Drosophila melanogaster: one gene and its partners. The protein of the gene in region 3 interacts with the protein of the main gene of each other region in a pairwise test. Each region holds a gene or a part of one and is shown on either strand. Other genes may lie near its edges. The genes, in order: CG17195, CG5721, HLH54F and CG15269.

What was found.
Region 1: the proteins of HLH54F (region 3) and CG17195 interact in a two-hybrid assay, tested with the Drosophila melanogaster proteins (one large-scale study listed by BioGRID).
Region 2: the proteins of HLH54F (region 3) and CG5721 interact in a two-hybrid assay, tested with the Drosophila melanogaster proteins (one large-scale study listed by BioGRID).
Region 4: the proteins of HLH54F (region 3) and CG15269 interact in a two-hybrid assay, tested with the Drosophila melanogaster proteins (one large-scale study listed by BioGRID).

The regions. Positions count from the first base shown.
Region 1 is NT_033777.3:25,775,725-25,779,127, forward strand, and holds CG17195 (uncharacterized protein), read right to left. Parts: upstream 1,475-3,403; 5' UTR 1,458-1,474; coding exon 606-1,457; 3' UTR 552-605; downstream 1-551. Other genes in the region: CG17196 (uncharacterized protein), read right to left, coding at 1-482; CG4956 (uncharacterized protein), read right to left, coding at 1,597-2,505.
Region 2 is NT_033778.4:18,181,919-18,186,089, forward strand, and holds CG5721 (uncharacterized protein), read right to left. Parts: upstream 2,173-4,171; 5' UTR 2,073-2,172; coding exon 1,956-2,072; intron 1,901-1,955; coding exon 623-1,900; 3' UTR 517-622; downstream 1-516. Other genes in the region: nopo (no poles), read left to right, coding at 1-159, 222-461; CG33958 (uncharacterized protein), read right to left, coding at 2,868-3,023, 3,247-3,557, 3,724-3,847, 4,005-4,094, 4,147-4,171.
Region 3 is NT_033778.4:17,755,759-17,761,054, forward strand, and holds HLH54F (HLH54F), read left to right. Parts: upstream 1-1,646; 5' UTR 1,647-1,816; coding exon 1,817-1,892; intron 1,893-2,328; coding exon 2,329-2,678; intron 2,679-4,277; coding exon 4,278-4,580; 3' UTR 4,581-4,759; downstream 4,760-5,296. Other genes in the region: Sardh (sarcosine dehydrogenase), read right to left, coding at 1-620.
Region 4 is NT_033779.5:15,107,606-15,113,640, reverse strand, and holds CG15269 (uncharacterized protein), read right to left. Parts: upstream 4,237-6,035; 5' UTR 4,057-4,236; coding exon 3,115-4,056; intron 1,549-3,114; coding exon 727-1,548; 3' UTR 549-726; downstream 1-548.

The DNA of each region.
Region 1 (3,403 bases), on a different chromosome or scaffold from region 3:
ATGAAAATCCCAAATGCCAAATAGAATGTAAGCCAGAAGAAATATCGGTGATTATTGTGTCCGATGCAAGTGGCTGCGAAGATGCAGTGGTGGTCTCGCTTCAAAATGCAGCATTTACACAGTGCACAGTGCCAGGATCGTGGAGGCATCAGTTTCTGACAGATATCGCAATAATGCCACAGGTGCTCCGTTCCCGGTTTCGGAATTTGCCGCTCCTGAGGCAGACTTTTCACTGCTGAGCTTGTACGGTAGCAGGCCAGCAAGTTTCCCAGGATATTGTATGTTGTAAAAATCGCTGATATCACAAAGAACTTATACATAAAACCATCATGCACATCGGGGGCCACATAAAAGACCTGCAGCGTGAAGAAAAAAACCGTGCTCACCAGTAAAAAAATCACTGACAAAGGATGTCCTATGCTCACGGCCTTCTTAGGATAGAGATTGGCATATTCGCGGCACCAATCATTTACGATACACATGATTGTAGGATTTTGAATACAACACCGTATTTTCCACAACTTGACATTAGATGAAAATAAGTTATGATTGGCTTGTTAAAATCGATATATATTTTTCAATAATTTAGTAATACGTCTATTAATTTAGTGAGACTGCTTCATCTGCCAATGTGCACCGTCATGGGGCAAAGGACTCTTCAGCAAGGGCGATATAAAAGTCCAAAGTCCTCGTTGGCCCATTATTGTCTGGCAGTTCTTTCGGAAACCCAGATCGTAGGTGCAATCAAAAATATTATAGTAGGTAGAGTTTTGGCTTAAAATCTGCATTTGATATGCCAACATAAAGGCAGGCATATAGCTGGCGCTTATATTCAAGAGGAAGGCAATGGTCTCAAAAGTATTGCCAGTATAATTTTGGAAAAAAGTCCTAGTTATTAAATTAAAAATCACAGACGAGAGACTCATGAAGTTACCGCCATTCTGCAGGATAAACATACAAAATGTTGCAAAGCTTGTGACTAAGCCGAGCGTTAAATAAAATGTGAACCAGAAGAAAAAGCGTTGATTATTGTGTCCAATGCAAGTGCCCGTGAATATACAGTGGTGGTCCCGTCTCAAAATGCAGGTGTTGCACAAAACGCAGTGCCAGGATCGTGGCGATCTCAGCTTTTTACACGATTCGCAATAGTGCCACAGGGGCTCATCCTCTGGATTCGGGCATCGGGAGTCCTTGGACAAGGTGTTTACCGATGAGCTAGTCATATAGCAGGCCAGCATGTTACCAAGTATGTTGTGCGTTATGAAGGTGACCAATATCCAGTAGAGCTTGTAAGCAATGTCGCCAAACACTTTGGGCGCAATGTAAAACATCTGCAGTGAGAAGAAGAAAGCTGTGCTGCACAGGACGAAAACTATCGAAAGTGGATGCACTATCCTCACAAAGTTCTTCGGGTAGCGATTGGCAAAGTAATGGCAAAATCTATTCACGTAGCACATTTTTTAGGATTTTGAAAACTTCTGTTGTAAATTATAGACTAAATAGAAACATTTACATCACAGAAGAAGAAACGCCAACCCGACATATTATAATAGAATTTATTCGCTATCTTATATTCAAAGTTTTTACAAACAAAATTTACACTGTCTGCTTCTGGAACCACTGAGTGCCATCGGTAGGAAGAGGACTTGAGATCGTTGGAGAGAAAAAAATCCAGAAGCGCCGTTTTCCCAAGACCATATCAAAATTTCTTCTCCAACCAACATCATAGCTGCGATCGAGCATCTTATAGCATGTACTATTCCGATATACCATTATCATTTGAAAGACGAACATGAAGAGGGGGACGCCAAAAAGAAATAAATTCAGTTTGAAAAGGTTGGCGATTGTGTACTTCCATTTGAAATCAGCATCTTGGGTTGTATCCTGGAACATTAGCAACAAAGGATCGACGACCAAAAAGGCCTTGTTTGTCCAATTCAAAATGCCATTGTAGACGAGCGCCTGTCCGCTGCCAAAGCTCAGGTGAAACAAGAAGGCAAGGAAATACCTCTGATTTTTATGGCCAATGCAACTGGCAAAGAAGGTGCAGTGGTGATCCCGCTTCAGAATGCAAATGTTGCACAAACTACAGTGCCAGGACCTCGGTGGCACCAGCTTTTGGCATGTGGAGCAGTAGTGCCACAGGTGAGCCTCACCTGCCACAGGATACTGTCTTTCCAGAACTAAGCTATCGACTGAGGTATTGGTCATACAGCCGAGCCACCAGTTGCCCAATATATTGATGACTGTATAAATTCCCATAAACCAACACAATTTGTGCCATATACCATGGGGATCAGTTATTTGCGGCAAAACGTAGCATAATTCATAGACAAACAGCAATCCAATCAGACAGAGTAAAAATATTGCACAAAACGGATGAAGTAGGCCCATAACTTTTATGCGATGTAGTTGAAAGTGACGATGAAACCCTTCCTCGGCTCGAAAACACATTCTTCTACTCCAACCGCAAGTAGATCTTAATAAAACTCGAAATCGAAGCATTTATAAATGACAGACGTATTGTTAAATTTATCAAATAAATTATTTTTAATAGACTTTGGGCACCAGAACTGCCTTGATTTGGAAATATGTATCTAACTGACATAATCGCATCACCCACTGAATTGTAAAAATCTGGCATTGTATGTATGTGTACTTTGGTGGGTGGTTTCAAATTCAATTTCTTTTCCTTTTTAAGCGGATTATTGCGAAATTACGTTTTATAATTGCTGGCGTCATTTGTGAAGGCAGAAAATTTTTATTTAAGTGGCGCTTCTAAGTGAATTCTACAATTCAAAAGATTTGGCTTATGGAATGTTTTCACCTAAAAGTTTCTCAAATTTTTACTTCATTTTCAAAGCAGTATAGGCAAAACCTTGCTTATAAAGCAAGCTTATAAGCAGAAAATAAATTGAAATAAAAAAAACAATGGAGGGAAAAAGGGCATCAGCATGGCAAAATATGGTATTTTGCAGCAGCTGTATGTTGTATAAACAAAGAGCAGAATAAAAACAACGAGGAATGCATATCAAATACATGTAGGAAACAGCTGGGTTAAGTCGACTTCATCAGCCCAGCGACCGCAAAATGGCAGCTGTCGGCCAGGTTTAGACCGCAGGAACGAATGTTGTCTATTTCGCATAAATTTTTATGAATTATTAATATGAACTAAGCATTTTGAATGTGGCCTGGTCGGGTGGGAAAGCTGGTGAGGACGCGGTTTTTCATTTTAAGTTCACTGAGGTGTATGGCACACCTATTGAGGTGGTTTTTCTTTTTGCCGTAAAGTAGAGTGGCAGTTTGCTTTTCGTTTGCATAAAATATGTACGATGGGGCGGGGCGGGACTTTCCTCACTTCGTGGCTAAATGTGTTTGCCGTCTTTGGCCTAGACCGGAAGCA
Region 2 (4,171 bases), 430 kb from region 3:
AACATTAAATCCAGCAGCGTCGGGTTGGCGCATCTTCTTAATACTAAGGGTAACATTGGGCTGGCCAAGTCTAAAATATCGCCCATCAAGGGAGTCGGTGGCGGTGTGTCTATGACCAGCGGAACCATACGGAAAACCAGCAGTGATCTCAGTGAAAAGGTAAACGCAATAATTTTGCCGAATTCCACTTAACCATTTAAAAATTCCGTATATTCCCCCAGTATTCAATCTTCAAGAAGCCAAGACTGCTGCTGGGAAGTTCAAGTAGTTCTGCGTTGACGGCCACGACGGGCTCAAATTTTGTCTACAATGGAATGGGCGGTTCTGAGAAGGTTGACCCCTTTGCGCAGCGCGCCGAGGAAGAGGGTCTTTCCACAATCAGATCCTCGACCGCCCTTTCCCGGAATGTCAACCAGCGTCTTAAAGCCGGCTCGCTGCGCAACTTTAACCTGGGCAAATAAGTCCACAGCCATGTGATCATAAGAGACTGCCCCAGTTGGGTATTAGCACGCGATTGGTATTGAGGATTGCCGATTTTGTTAGTTAGCCAATGCATGAATTAAGCAATAGTAATAATTTAGCAGTAAATATATAAAAATACAAAAGGCATATGTGTGTGCGATTAGGCGGCAATTTTTTTCTCCGCCGTGCCCGTCCATTCCTCGCGCAAGTGGACACTACAGCCGAGGTCGCGCAACGCCGCCTTGATGTCCTGCTCCACACTGGGGTGCTCCTTCATTGCCATATTTAGTAGATCCTCAACGCCGAAGGAGATCCAGGTTTCACACTGGTTCCGCGACCGTGACACCATATTGCGGATGGCCCACGCTCCGTTTCGCTGGACTATCTTGTGTTTGGGATGGGCGCGAAGAGCCTCCACGATTACTTCGGCGATGCCGGTATCGAAAAAGGCGGCACTGTGTTCCTGCACTCGGAGTGTCAGAGTAGTCACGCAGGCCAAAGCGGCGGCAACGATGTTTTCATTGGACTGGTGCGTCTCTAGCAATTGCTTTATTATAGGAGCCACGCCCTGCTGTACTATATGTGACTTCACGGAGTCTTGGCCAGCCAGGGCACGTAGCAACTTTAAGGCCTCTCTATTTAGACGCACCTCATCCAAATTCGAACTCATGATCTCGAAGACGGACTTCAGTCCACCAGCCTCGTCGATAGCTGTACAGAGTTCCTGACGCACAGCCAGTGTTCCAATGGTCAGCAGAAGATCAGCCAGAACATTAGGATCCTGATAGGCCGGCAAAAGTTCCACCAAGGTGATGAGCACCTCGCCTGCTATTTGGCGGGCGTGCTCGTGGGCGCATCCAAACTCAACGCGAATGTCATCATCCAGCACTAGGAAGCGGAAGACGGCGGTCAGTTCACGCACCAGGCGGTCCTTCCCTTTCCCTAAAAGGGGCTTCATGAGTTTGAGTGCGGAGGTATTCATGATATTCTGGCGGTTCATTTCATGCATGATGCAGGCCTTCTGCAGCCATTGAAGAGTCAACAGGGTGACTTCTTCACTCTCCACTTTGAGGGCCAGTAACTTGAGAACCACGGCCATCGCCTCGGCATCAAACAGATCCGGCTGCTTGTGGGTCAGGCTGTTGATGGCTTCCAAGGACTTTTTTAACACGGATTCGTTGGGTGACTCAGCAGAGAGCGTCTCCTCCAACAGGGTGATCAGGGCATCGTGGGCTCCATTTTTGCCGGCTAGAACCCTATGGGCTAGCGACTTTTTGCACTCAGCATCCAAGGTGGCCAGCTGTTCCAGCAGCTCCGTTGTTTCCTCCAGTTTTTGGCCAATGTGCTCCTTGATCTTGTCCACCGTTTCGTTGATGACAGGTTGGCCGGTTTGCGGATTGACGGACAGGTCCTTGATAATGTTGGCCAGGTTGATGCCCTGCAATCATTTCATTAAAGTGAATCTACTGGATGACTATGTCGACATTACTTACCTGTGCCTCGAATTGCTTGATGGTCTCTTCTTTCGCCTCCGAAGGAGTCATCGAGAACTCCACAACGTTCTCCTTCACAACATCGTCGAAGGTGTCCTGCGATATAACCTTGGCCATGGCAGTGATTCGTCCAATTTTGGCTATGCCCTCAGCAGCTGCAGCTTTAACTTTTCAAATTTTACTTTGTTCTCTCTGTAACTTCCCACACACACACACACGCCCACACGCAGGCACACAGGCACAGTTCGAATTTAGTGGCTGCGGTCACACTATCGCACTTCGCAGGGCGGTCATACTTCCAGCTGATTTACATTCGATACATATCGTTGTACGGTTTAATAAAACTCACCATTGAACACTCAAAAAAATTGTTGTATTAATACTAACACCGAATTTGATAAAAAATAAATTATAACCTTATTTTATAACTAAAGAAGTGAAAGAAAAGATTTTAGGTTTCTTTATATATGTCCCATCACTGTGGTTGGAAAACGAATGGTAACAATGTATTTCTCGCATATTTTTTATTAACATAAGTCTGTATTTTGGCCGCATGCTTGTGATTTGCACTGTGTATTACATGTAAAAAGACGATTGGCCATTGAAGCGTTTAAAGTTGTTGTACACGATGCATCAGTTGCACTTCCACTTTTTTTCAAGGAAGTGATTTAATTATTATATTTTGAAGCGAATTTAAAATTAAGACGAATTTTATGTTGTATATTTTATCTACACTTGGTGCACCGTGTAACTTCAACTTTTTGATAGAAAGGAAAGATACTTAGATATTTAAATAGAGAGATTGAGAGAGCGGGACACTAATGCATGCACATCCAAAAGAAAAGCACCTCGAATTTATGGCCAGGATAAGCATTATTTGGCCTAGCCGGAAAACTTGCAGTTGGTTGCATCTCATTTCCGCTTTGGCAGCTTGTAGTCGGTTGGCGGATGCAGCTTCAGGTGGTCAAGAAACACGGGCTGTATGTCCGCCCGCCACGAGATCTCCTCGCGAGCCCTAACCGGTCCGTCCTTGCAGGTCAGCCAGTAGGTGCTCATTAGACCCTTACCCTGAAAATGAAACAGTTTGCAGGTTCACCCAACAAAAAAAGTTGTTTTAAAAGTATGGAAAAAACACGGTACACAAAAAGCTATAGCGAACTAATGGGAGTTAAAAGGAACTGAATTATACTAAGGGCTAACGGTAATTTACAAACATTACTCATACGCAGTGTAAACATCTTAAGTAGAATCCTCAAGGTTCGTAAGAATGATTTTGATCGATTGCAAATACCTTGACATCGATGAGGCCGCGGTGTTCGGTACGGAATCCGCCCACCTGTTGCAGCGAGTCGTGCATCTCCTCGGTGATATGTATCTTCTGCGCCTCGCCGGTGCTCTCCATCCGCGAGGCCGTGTTCACCGTGTCGCCGAAGAGGCAGTAGCGCGGCATTTTGGTGCCAACGATACCGGCGACAACCGGACCCGTGTGCACACCGCATCGTATTTGAACAAATTCGTCTCCTGCCCGGGGAATCCGGAACACCGACGAGGCGTCCAGCAAATCAAGGGCCATTGTTGCTATCTCGCTGATGTGCTTGTTCCCTGCAGAGGCAGCGGGTCGGAAAGTTCCATGGCATAAATTACGCGCATGGCCACAAATGAAATTTAAATTAGCGCAAATCTTTTTGGGGCAGTCAAGCAGTGGGATGTTGCCGGCGGGCGGGGTTTAAATGACTGAATGACTGACAGCTGAATTTGCATAAATTACCGTTCTTCACCGGCAGACCCGATGCCACCATATATGAGTCCCCAATCGTCTCAACCTTATAGACATCGTAGCACTCGATACGCTCGTCGAACACCCGGTAAATTGAATTCAAGAAGGTCACCACCTGAAAGTGTGAGATGTATCTCTCATTAGAGATAAATGTCAAAGGAATACAAATTATACCTAAATACAACTAAAGTTGAATGTTAGTTACAAGATATGCTTAAACCAAAGTTGATTAGCAAAATGATATGATGAATAAAGTGATAGTGGTACTTTACCTCCAGTGGAGTGCAATCCGCAGCTATTTCGGTGAAACCCACGATGTCGCTAAAGTAAATGGTGACTGCCTCGTAGAGCTCGGCGGGCACCTGTCAGGAAGTCAATTAGACCTGGTTAATTCTCACCCACAGCTGGACTCACCTGCTGGGTCTGTTTCAATTGCATG
Region 3 (5,296 bases):
TCATCCACTCCGCAATTCTCGATTACCTGTGCTCCGAGATTAGTGGCTGCCTTTTTGAGGGCCGCACACAGCATCGCCGGATCCATGACACCATCACCCGGAGAATAGAGAGCGCCCACAAATGCCGACGGATCGAGGAGGGGAAATAACTTTTGGGTGTCCTCCGGACTCAGCACTTGGTTTTCAATACCCAAAGCTGAGCCCACAGTGGCCAGTCTGCGATACTCGTCCAGTCGCGTTTCATTGTGAGCAATGAAGATGCCACCATTTTGAATCCATCCCGGATCCAGCTCCGTTTCCTCCTCCAATTGCTGCAGCATGCGACGTGAATTAGCCAGCAGCTGAATATCCACATCGTTGGGACGCAGGCGCCACAGCAATCCAGCCGTGTGCCAGGTGGTTCCGGCCGTAAGTTGGGCGCGTTCCAGGAGCACGGCCTTGACACCACGTCGTGCCAGGTGATACAGTGTGTGACAGCCCGCCGAACCACCGCCAATAACCACAACATCTGCTGCGCCTGGCAGGAATCCACTTGGTTCCCTTCGAGCTCCTCCATCTTCCCTCACTTGTTTGCTGATTCCACGGCGCGAAGCTTGCTGCAGGATGCGATGGCGCCACATCTCAAAAACGGCCGAGCGCGACGACTTTAGAATCTCAACTGAATTCTCGAGTTAAAAACACAATACCGCCATAATAATCTCCCGCTGAATTGATCGGATAACCCATGGTTCAGCATCCTGATAAACCTGCTGTGCCAGTGACGTTCCATCCATGACTGGAGGCCCTAATCAAGGCCACGTTTTAGGGTCACAGCACGTTTCTTATCTGGGTTCGGAGGCGTGGCAAGTAGTAAAATTAGTTAGCAGCTACGTAGGTCAAAAAACAATTTAATCTGAGCAAATTTTTAGTTTCAATAAAGATGCGGTTTAACAGATGCTTCTTGCTAATATGTTGTGGTTTCAATTAATCCATTCATATAAATAGATTTATTAAACTCTTGCTTTTCTTTTAAAAGCACTTAAAGAAAACGTAAATTCTATAGATTAAACAAAGTGTTGCCTACATATATGTACATATATTTTCGAGTATTTTCATTTCCCGCAGAAAATTTGAAAAGTCAAAATCGTTCTCGGAACTTAAAACTCCCCACATAAGCAATGAAATTTTGGACCCATACTCAAATGCCAACCATCGCGGCGACCCCAAACAGGATACGCAGTTGAACCCCAGGATTATAATCTCTTCCGATCTGCCATTAATGCCTATCTCCAAATGCACTGCGAGATCGAATACCAGGTGGTGCCATCTGGAGCCGGAGTCTTGGCACGCTTCGCACTCGCCCGTCGCACATCCTTACGGCACAACATCCCCACTCCAACGCCCGTAGTGAACCGGATAAACCGAGCGTTTCATTTTGAATTTTCCCGCAGACCGACGGAGGAACACTGTGTGGCCAATGTGGTGGCAGCCAGAAGGCAAACAACCGAGAAAGAGACCGCCGATCGCACCATGTGTCCGGATTCCTCCGCCAATTGGGACTGTTTGCGGAGCAGGCACGCCCACCAGAGGTGCCAGAAATAGACGGAATCTGGAGAGCTGCAAACTGCGGAGCAGAATGCTCAAAAAGGAGGATCTCCCCGTAACCCGTGACAGAAGTGCTCTACGTGCCACGCAGATCGGACGTATTCGACTCACAGATTGGTTTCGGTTCGGTGCGTTTCGATTTTAAGTGAGAAAACTGAGTGATTGGAATTTTATATCCAATTTGAAAATATTCGAAGTGATTCTTGTGATACCACCAACTTGTTTTTGAACAATGCCACGCAAGAAGCGCAGTTCCAGCCCCACGGAGTTCTTTGATGACGACTTCGATGAGGATGCCAGTTCTCAAAGTGAGTTCGATTTCAATTTATAGGTGATTTTGTACTTATATTAAAAAGATGTATTATAAACGCTTAAAAACGTTGACAATGTAAATATGTTTAGCTAGTTTTGTAAATTTATTATTTACTTTAAAGTAAAATTCAATTTCCTTAGAATTTTTTAAATCGAACTTTAGAATTTACCTTAAAAGGAATGTTAATTTAAAATGCGTTAAGCTCTAAATGAAAATATAATAATAATGATAAAAATTATAATAACAGAAAGCACAATAGATATAAATTGAGTTTAAAATTCATACTCCATATGCTTTTTGAACTTCATACTTTGCGAAGATATCTATAATGTAACTTAAAACTTTTGTGGATACCAATAAAACCTTTTGTTTCTAATTAATCTCTTGTTATTGGAGCTCCTTAAGATGTATCTACATTTCTGATTTTCCAGGCTCCCAACCGCCGGTGCAGCGAAATGCGGCAAATGCCCGGGAGCGGATGCGTATGCGGGTTTTATCCAGCGCCTACGGACGTTTGAAGACCAAGCTGCCCAACATTCCGCCGGACACGAAGCTCTCCAAGTTGGACACGTTGCGTTTGGCCACGCTCTACATCAAGCAGCTAATTACGGCTGTGGAGACAGGCAGCCACTCGCAGAACCACCCGCACAACCACAACCAGCACCACAGCCTCAACCACAGTCACTCGAGTACCACCAGTTCCGAAGGCCTGGACACAAGTCACATGGCAGATTCGTCCGGTGGAGGCAATTATAATTTCCACAACAACGGACACGGCATGGTAAGTGTCATGCAATTGCGATCCCCCTGCCCGAATATAAGTGATGTCACTGCCACCACTTAACGATGCACTGCACCCGCGGCTCGGGGGAACGGGAACGCATTAATGAGCCGGCCACTTCAGGTGGATCTCGTCAGTTAATGACAGGTGTCGCAGGGGATGCCCAGTGATATGCCCAAGATCAATGTTTATTCATGGATTTCAGTCTAATTGAGAAGTAATGTTCAGCCGATCGGGATTCCCATAAGTTTATGTCTTTTTATGGAAAGTTTGGTATTGGGAATGAAAATTTTTCTTTTATGCGTTTTCTTTGAAAAGCCATTAAGGAAATAAAGTAGGTAGATATTTGTAAATTTTGCTAGTTGAAATTAGCCTTTCGTAGAATTTTAACTTAGAGATCGTGGAAAGTTACACGGAAACCCAGGCTTCAGTGTTTAAAATTTAAAAAATTGATACTATTACAATTTAAACGTATACGCAATCTATTATTCTCATTTTTTTTTTAACAAGCAACTTAAGTATTTAGTAATACTACTCAACTTATAGGGGTAATTCAACGCAATTTTAGCGAAATATAGATCAAAAATCCAAAGGAATGTGGTGCAACATCTGCTTGGTGATGCGGACGCGATGCGGCGACAAGTATTTCCACCTTTTCTAGATGTGGAGGTGAACCACAAACGTAACCACATCCACATCCCATGACCGGAGTCAGCCATTCAGCCGGGCCCCCCACTAGAACACCGAAATCACATTTTGTGATTTCAGACTGCCTTGCTTTCCTGTAATCCGATACTTTTGTGAATTTCGAAAATATTAAATATGAGTGACAGGCTGTTGGTGGAGCGGGCAGGGAACGGAGATGGTAACGCAGACCTGCGGATCTGGATGGGGGGCACTAGTTAGTCTTTGCTTTTATTTTTTATTTTTAAAGATGCTCTTGATGCTTTGAAGCGACACAGTGAATGACATGCGAGGGAAAGTGTCATCCTCAGTAGTTTTCCCACTCGGATTATTGTAATTAAAATTTGTCTAACCGTGTTTATCCATCAGCCATTCCCGCTGGAGTTTACACAATCTATCACTCAAGATTCATGGCGTGCACAACTTATCTAAATAGATGCAATTGTTTACACACCGAATGCGTGAAAAATTCAGCAAATACGGCTCCGTCTTGTGCCCATATGGTGGCAAATCAGATCGGATCGGAGAGTCCCGACCCTATCCGAATTTATACCATCCACGCGCCCAAGATGATCTGTTGGGAACAACCCATTGGTTCGCTATTTGCTCGCTAGCCCTAGCATCCCTATATCCCATTTCCAATCCCTCATTGTATGGCATACAAATGAGTGTCTCTTGTCCGCAAGTGTTTGGCTGTTTATGTTTTTATAGATCCGTTAATGAGGCTGTTATTGTAGATCTAGACGTGGAGGCGGGGGTGGGCACTAAAAACAATCAAAGTTGCGTAAACAAACAATGGCGCTGTCTCGGGATGGGTTGTCGTCATATTGTTCCATATATAGCCCCTGCGGTTTCCACAACTCCTATGATTTATGCCTGTTTTATCCACACATTCCACATTATACTGTCTTGCAGAGCTGGCCCTTTGAGTTCCACCAGAGTAGCCGGAGTTTGGCATTTGCCCCATCATCATCAACCACCTCATCCGCCCGTATGGATTGGCAAACCCTGCATACGCAATCTTATCCGAAGACTACGCGAGGCGAAACCCATGTTTCGGCGGATCTAAGTTACCATCAGTTGCCGGAATCTCACAGTCACTGGTATCCGGCGGAAGTGCATCAAATGGAGCCAGCGGCCAGCTGTTCCTATGACTCTGGAATGGGGCAGCATCAGCGGGGCATAGCTATAGCCACTAGCCATGCCCATGGCATTTAAGCGGATATTATAAATAATGTTCTGACCTAAGCCAAATGAATTTACCACCTAGTAAGTGTATTAAATCGTGATTTAATTTTACGTGTTTCCGTATGTGCAAGCCTGAACCTATGCTATAAGGCCAAAGATTGGTGTTACCTCATGATCATTTAGCTAGCAAATATATCTATGTTTTTAATAAAATTGGAATTTTTGAATTTTTTTGAATTGGCGCCAAGATTATGGTGACTGTATCCCTGGAGTTGTCGAGTGCTGCCGTACTTGTTTGTATTTTGCAGCCCTGTTCAACAGCTGATTTCGTCACAATACAAACAAAGAGCTGCTAAAAACAAAATTAATCTATTAATTAAGGCGGAATTCAAATACCCTACTTTTTTTAAAACGGCTAATTTGAGACATTTTAAAGATGTTATTTATGCAGAAAGATGTAGTGAATTTGCATTATTCACTTGCAAACAAATTATACGAACAAAGAAGCTTATGAAAGCAATCTTATTTAAATTAGAAACAAACTGAAAGAAAACGCCCAAGTACTTTTTACATGCAGTGTATTTATTTTGTGTATTTACTCATAAATGTAGCCCAACAACAATGGCGTGAGAATAATGGTTGTGCTACAGACTATTTCAACACAAAAGCGAACTTATTACATGTGTATTTTCGCGGTTAAAGTTCACGTCGTTCGAGAGCTGGCATCGATGATTAGATTCGGAATA
Region 4 (6,035 bases), on a different chromosome or scaffold from region 3:
TTTCTACGGCCAACTGGACGCACCGCAGCCTGGGTCCGCAGGCACGTTTTACTGATTTTTTTGCGCTTTTCCTGCGTTTTTTATGCTCGCTTATATTGTAAATTTCTAACAAAATTTCACAACACGGTCATACCAGACGAAACGGTACCACTGACAATTGCCTTGACTTATCGATATATTAACAGACTTTCGATTTTTGAGGGGAAAAGGGCTGCCAACTCGGTTTTAGGACAGCTGTGAATACAATTTAACAGCAAGATTTCGTTTAGTTACTCAACACACCTACAGTGGTAATAAACTATCAGGTGGCGCCATCTGGCTGAGTGAGAGCGCACTTTTAAATATGTTAAATGTACTGCAACGGTTCGTTCATTTGTTTACTAAAAAAACATACATCTTTTAATTTTTGTCACTAGAAGATTTGAATTAAATAAGGCTGCGTTATCTGATTATAAGCGAAATTACCTAGTTGGACTCCCAATCATATCTCCAATCCAAAATATTATTTCTAGAATCCTGGAATCCTTTTGTATTTGATATTATACTTTATTGACTGGCCAATATATATGCCTATTTTAATAATAATTAATGTCTATTCCTAATTTAATTTCTAGCAAAATTATTGCTTGAAAATAAATGTAAATTGAATAACAACAGTGGAAGTACTGCACTTTGTAATTGCCACAAATTTGGTTGAAACTGGCCGGGCACAACGATTCCACCCATTTAGAATGTCCTGAGATTGCTGAGAAGGGTTTGCTGACTCGGCGGTTGGGATGGACCAGATCCAGGTGTTAGAACTCCAGGAGGTGGCGGCATTTGAAATGTTTGAGCCATGGCCATGGCCAAAGTGGGCGGTGGACCTGTTTGTTGTTTTCCCGGTACTGGAAGTGCGGATGATGTGACCGTGAGTCCATCCAACGGACGGTACTGACACTTCTTAGCGTGGGTTCGCATATTGCTCGACTGGGTGAATGCCTGATTGCAGTTGGGATGTGGGCAGACATACGGCTTGCAGCCTGTATGGTAATTCAGATGCGTCTTTAGGTGATGCTTTTTGGTGAAGGCTTTGGGGCACAGGGGGCAGCTGAAGGGCTTGATTCCCGAGTGGAGGCGATGGTGCAGGGTCATGTTGCTGCGATCGGCAAAGGACTTGCCGCACACGGAGCACTGATACGGTTTCTCACCACTGTGCGTCCTCATGTGCTGTTTGAGCAGCATTTTACGCGAAAATCTCTTTCCGCACTCGTTGCATTTGTGGGGTTTCACGCCGGTATGAATCCGGACATGCATATTGAAGGCCACACGCTGATTGAACGATTTGGGACAGTAAGGACACTCGTACTCCTTCCGGTTCCGGTGAATCTTTAGGTGACTGCTCAAATATCCCTTATCGTTGAATGTCTTGCCACATTCGGGACACTCGGCGGCAAACTCCTTGGTTCCTCGGTGAACGGACAGGTGATATTTGTAATTTCGCAGCTGGGAGAAACCCTTTCCACAATCCGCACACTCGTAACGCGGCGATTTGTGCGTCTTTTCATGAGCCTGAAATAAGAACATAATAGACAAATAAGATAAATAAATAAGATACATTAGCTTAGCAATAGTAATATTGTAGCAATAGTAAGAGATTTAAAATTTTAATAAAAAACCTGAGGTAGTGAAAATCTGTTGTGAAATTCATAAAACAGCGATTTTCTACAAACTGTTCGTTAGTTAGTTAGTTTTTGGAAGGGAGGCTTTCAAGATGAGTATGTTTAGCAACATTTTAATTAGGTCCTAATATTAATACCTTATTCTATAAGTTCTAGTGAGGATTGGAAGATTTCGAATATAAAGTTACTGAAAACTGAGCTTTGGACACATTTATACTTATACAAAATAAGCCAGAAATGCAAAAAATACCATGGTTACACATTCGAATGTTCCCCATTGTTTGTAATAATTTTGTTGCAACTTCAAATGTGGCTTGCTTCAGTTAGCTACTGAAATTGGTGTTCTTTCCCAAAGTGGCCATTTTGTGATTACCTCTCGCTCGGCGTCTGGCCCTTTCTAACGTATCTTGTAGCTGCACCCATGCGTAAAACCAGTTCTCTCTTTTTTGCCCGCTTCTGTTTCTGTTTTCGGCCGACTCCATTTTGAACTCGGATTGCTTGCGAGATTTGCATAAGGCACTCAATTCTTCGCTGCCTCTCTCTTCCCCACTCCACTTGAATCTCCACTCTTTTCTTCGGAGCTCCGCCTTCCAATTAGACTACTGTTTCTCTGTTTTTTAGGCCCCGCCCAAATCCATATGGTATCTCTGTTGGTGAAGAAACCCGTTTTGGGAGGATCTCGTGTGGATGTGGACTTTGAGGACCGGCCAAACGATATCTTATGTGATGTATGGCCATGTGAAAGGTTAATGCTGTTCTTGGCTTAGATGTTTTGAAAGGAGTTAAATTCCTAAAGTTATTTAATGGCTTTGCAATAATAATTCTCAATCATTTAGTACTCCGCATAAACACATATTTCTTTGTGATAAATGTATACGTAACCGTTGATGAGATCTAAATCATTAATTTTTTTGTTACTTATAATTAAAAAAAAAAATACGCGTGCATTTGCCAAATGCTTGTGTGTAAGTACAAACTCTTTAAGTGACTTTACGTATAAGTTTGATTGTGCTATTTAATTTATAAGAAAATTTCATACAATCGTTCATTTCGTTTCGCTTTTTTTATAACTAAACAGCAGCAAACTGAAATAAAATATAATCTGGCAAATCTAAATCATTTCATTCTTAAATTCTAATTGGGAATTGCATATATTTTTTGAATATTTGTATTTCATTTTTTAAAAGTTGAAGGTCTAATGAAATAAAAAAAATTAAAATTCTGTCTACACTATAAATATAAAAATTTGTTTCGTGGGTGTTTTGTGTTTACTCGTTTTTGAGGGATTTTAAGAATAAATTGAATCCTTGGGTTAGAGTTTGGAATATATTTAGGATGAATTATCTTTTCTAAAGCTAATAACTGATAACTAAACGCTTTGGTTGTCATAAATGATATATACTTGTAAACAGAACACCATCGTAATAATAATTTAATAACAATAATAAAATCTCACCTGCAGAGTTTCAGAGCATCCGAATACCTTCTCGCAAATCCGGCACTTGTAGCTGATCTCCTCGGCGGATGTGGCATTGTATCCACCGATACCACCGATTGCTCCACTGTTGCTGCCGACGGCTGTGGTGATCAGTCCACCGGTCATCTTGGGCATCATTCCGACGGCCGTTGCCTGGACCGAGTTCAGACTCAGATTGGTCACGGTGGTCAGTGAGATGTTAGTGCTGGCGGCTCCTCCAGTGGCACTCATAATCAGATCCCTCACAGGACGTATTGATCCGGTGGAACTGCTCACCGAGGAGGCGGCGGGTGAGATGAGAGGTGCGGTCTGCTTATAGCCACCAGTCTGCAATCTTTGGTAATAATCCAGGCACTCCGGGCAATCCGGACGAGTGCATGCGGTGCTTTTGGTGCGTATGAGAGGTTGCTGTTGCTGCTGCAGTGGTGGTGGTGGGGGAACCGATCCATTGATCACATAGGGAGCAAAGAAGCGTTTCTGCTGATTTGGCAAATGCTGCTGATGCTGATGTGTTTGATAGGGCGACGTAGGAGGAGTACTCAAGCCGGCAGCCGCTGCAGCAGCCGCATAGGCGGGCAGTAAGTGCGGGAAGAATTGGGCATAGAACTTGGTGGCATTGGCCATGGCCACCAAATCTGGCGGCAACATGGAGTAGGCACCGGAGGCATAAGGAGTTGATGGTATTGCCAGCCCTCCAAGAGCCTGTGGGCTCCTAATACTGTTGCTACTGCTCTTGGATAGATCCAGGATATTCGTGCTCGTATCCTGAGCGGATTTACGCTCCTTGCCCAGAATCTTACTGATGCTAAAGTCAGTGACTTGAGCCGGTGGCAACTGTGCCCCAGCTCCCAAGTTCTGGACTCCATTGGTGGGTGAAGTACGCGCCGGCGAGGGCGAAAGGTCGTAACTGCGCTGCAGCATGGCGTGCTTGAAACCCATTCTTCTCCACACCGAAGAATCACTCATAGACCGCAGGCGTTACCGTTTCGGATGACTATTTTCTGAGGCGTAGGCGCTTTTTAGCCCGGGGAACTGTCGCGTTACGCGTCGAAACACGAAATGTCTTGGCCTCACAGCCCACAGCAGCCGTCATCGTCTTTTGGCCGGGCCTAAAGCCTGGCTTACGCTCCCGCTCTCGAATTTAATTGGTCGAGAAACAGGTTTGACCGTACAGGTCGGTCTCGCTCCGTATCTCTCTCTCTCATAGACCGGGAGTCTCTTCTCCAATTAACCAGGTTTGACTGCTGGAGACAAACTGTCGCGCCTCCAATTACGAGAGGAGCTGCAATCTGCAGACCCAGAACCATTTGCTAGTAGCGTTCTACTAGTCACATCTATCATAAACCTTATCGCTCCTTTCAGATCGCTCTCCGTGCACTACTCTCTTTCATTTTTTTTATCCACTGGACCTCTCTGATAAAGTGACTAAGATTTCGTTTTGGCCGCGTTGTTTTTGTAATTAATTGCGGTAATAAAATGTGCGCATCGTTAAATTTTCAAAATGTATTTCTCTTGTTCCTCATCCACACACACACATTCTCATCCCCGTCCACATTCACATCCTCGCTGATTCCGAATCCGATTCCCAGGCATGTGTGAATCTTACGGTTATGCGCATGCGCAGCGATCATCTCTTGAGGTGACTTGGTTCGTCACGGCTCTGCAGTCTTAGCCATGTGTGAGTGTGGGAAGGAATTGAAGCTAGGGACTAGATGACATAACCGTCAAACGATCGTCAAAATGGTGTATAGGAAATCAGGTATTTTTCTTGCGAATTTAAAAAGGGTTGTTAACGGTTCATGATTGACCACACTGGCCAAAAAACTTAACGTAAGCCCAAAAGGTCTAAATAATCATATATGGATGATTATGACACCCTCTTGAAATATTTTAGTAATTAAGGACGTGCTGTGCCATTAAAGTAAAGTAAAGAATTTTTAAGAAACAACAATTTGAACCCAAATATTTTTCCATAAATTTATTAAAAAATAGCCTATGCCAATTAAGGGTGCCCTACAAATACCTCTTTCTGAAGCATTTAAGCTTGATCCACTACATTTAGTTGCCATCCAAGAGGGACTGTGACCACTTCCTCGACTTGCATAGCATCAGTAGCGGCCATAAAAATGTGCAAAACAAAATGCTCCTCAAGTGATTTGTGATTGGATGAAACGCGCATAAATAACATGGTATCCAGGCCGAGGATTCGGAGGATCCATACACAGGTGAAGTAAAATGGTGACACACCACGCGAATTCAAGGAAGCTGCAGATACAAATGAAGTGGTATACATTTACAGCTACATGGAATGAGATCCGGTGAAATGGAGTTGATATTCTGACTCACAAGGATTGGAGGATTGAAAGTCTCTGTTTTCTAATTGCCAATTGCCGCATAGAGAGACTCTAATGCGCAAGGCACAATCTTGCACACGATTTGTCCACGATCACTTACAAAACGATCTTATCAGGATTACCTGGCGGAGAAGCCCCTTCAAATCCTCCGCGCTAGCCAACTACCGATCCTCTTGCCAGTGATTAATAATGGTTTGACTGTCAACACGCGCTGCTCGCTTTGGTTGACCACGATCTGCATAAATTTTGATTAAACAGGCTATTCATTATAATTATACATATGAGGACCGGGCGAACACCACAAAACTTGTTCAACCTTAGTTGAAAAACTCTTTTTCGTATTTCGTTTTTTTTTTTCAGTTCGGTTGGCATTTCGTGGAATTCCGCCAGATAATTTACATATGCGAAGCGAAGGAAACTTAAGTTTTAATTACACTCACTAAATCATCGGGCCTCTGCAGCAGACTCCAGGAGACTTTGTTTTGTCGCATGACTAATGTTTATTAGCTGCTAATGGTTTGTTTTACAAAAGCTACGTGGCTGCCC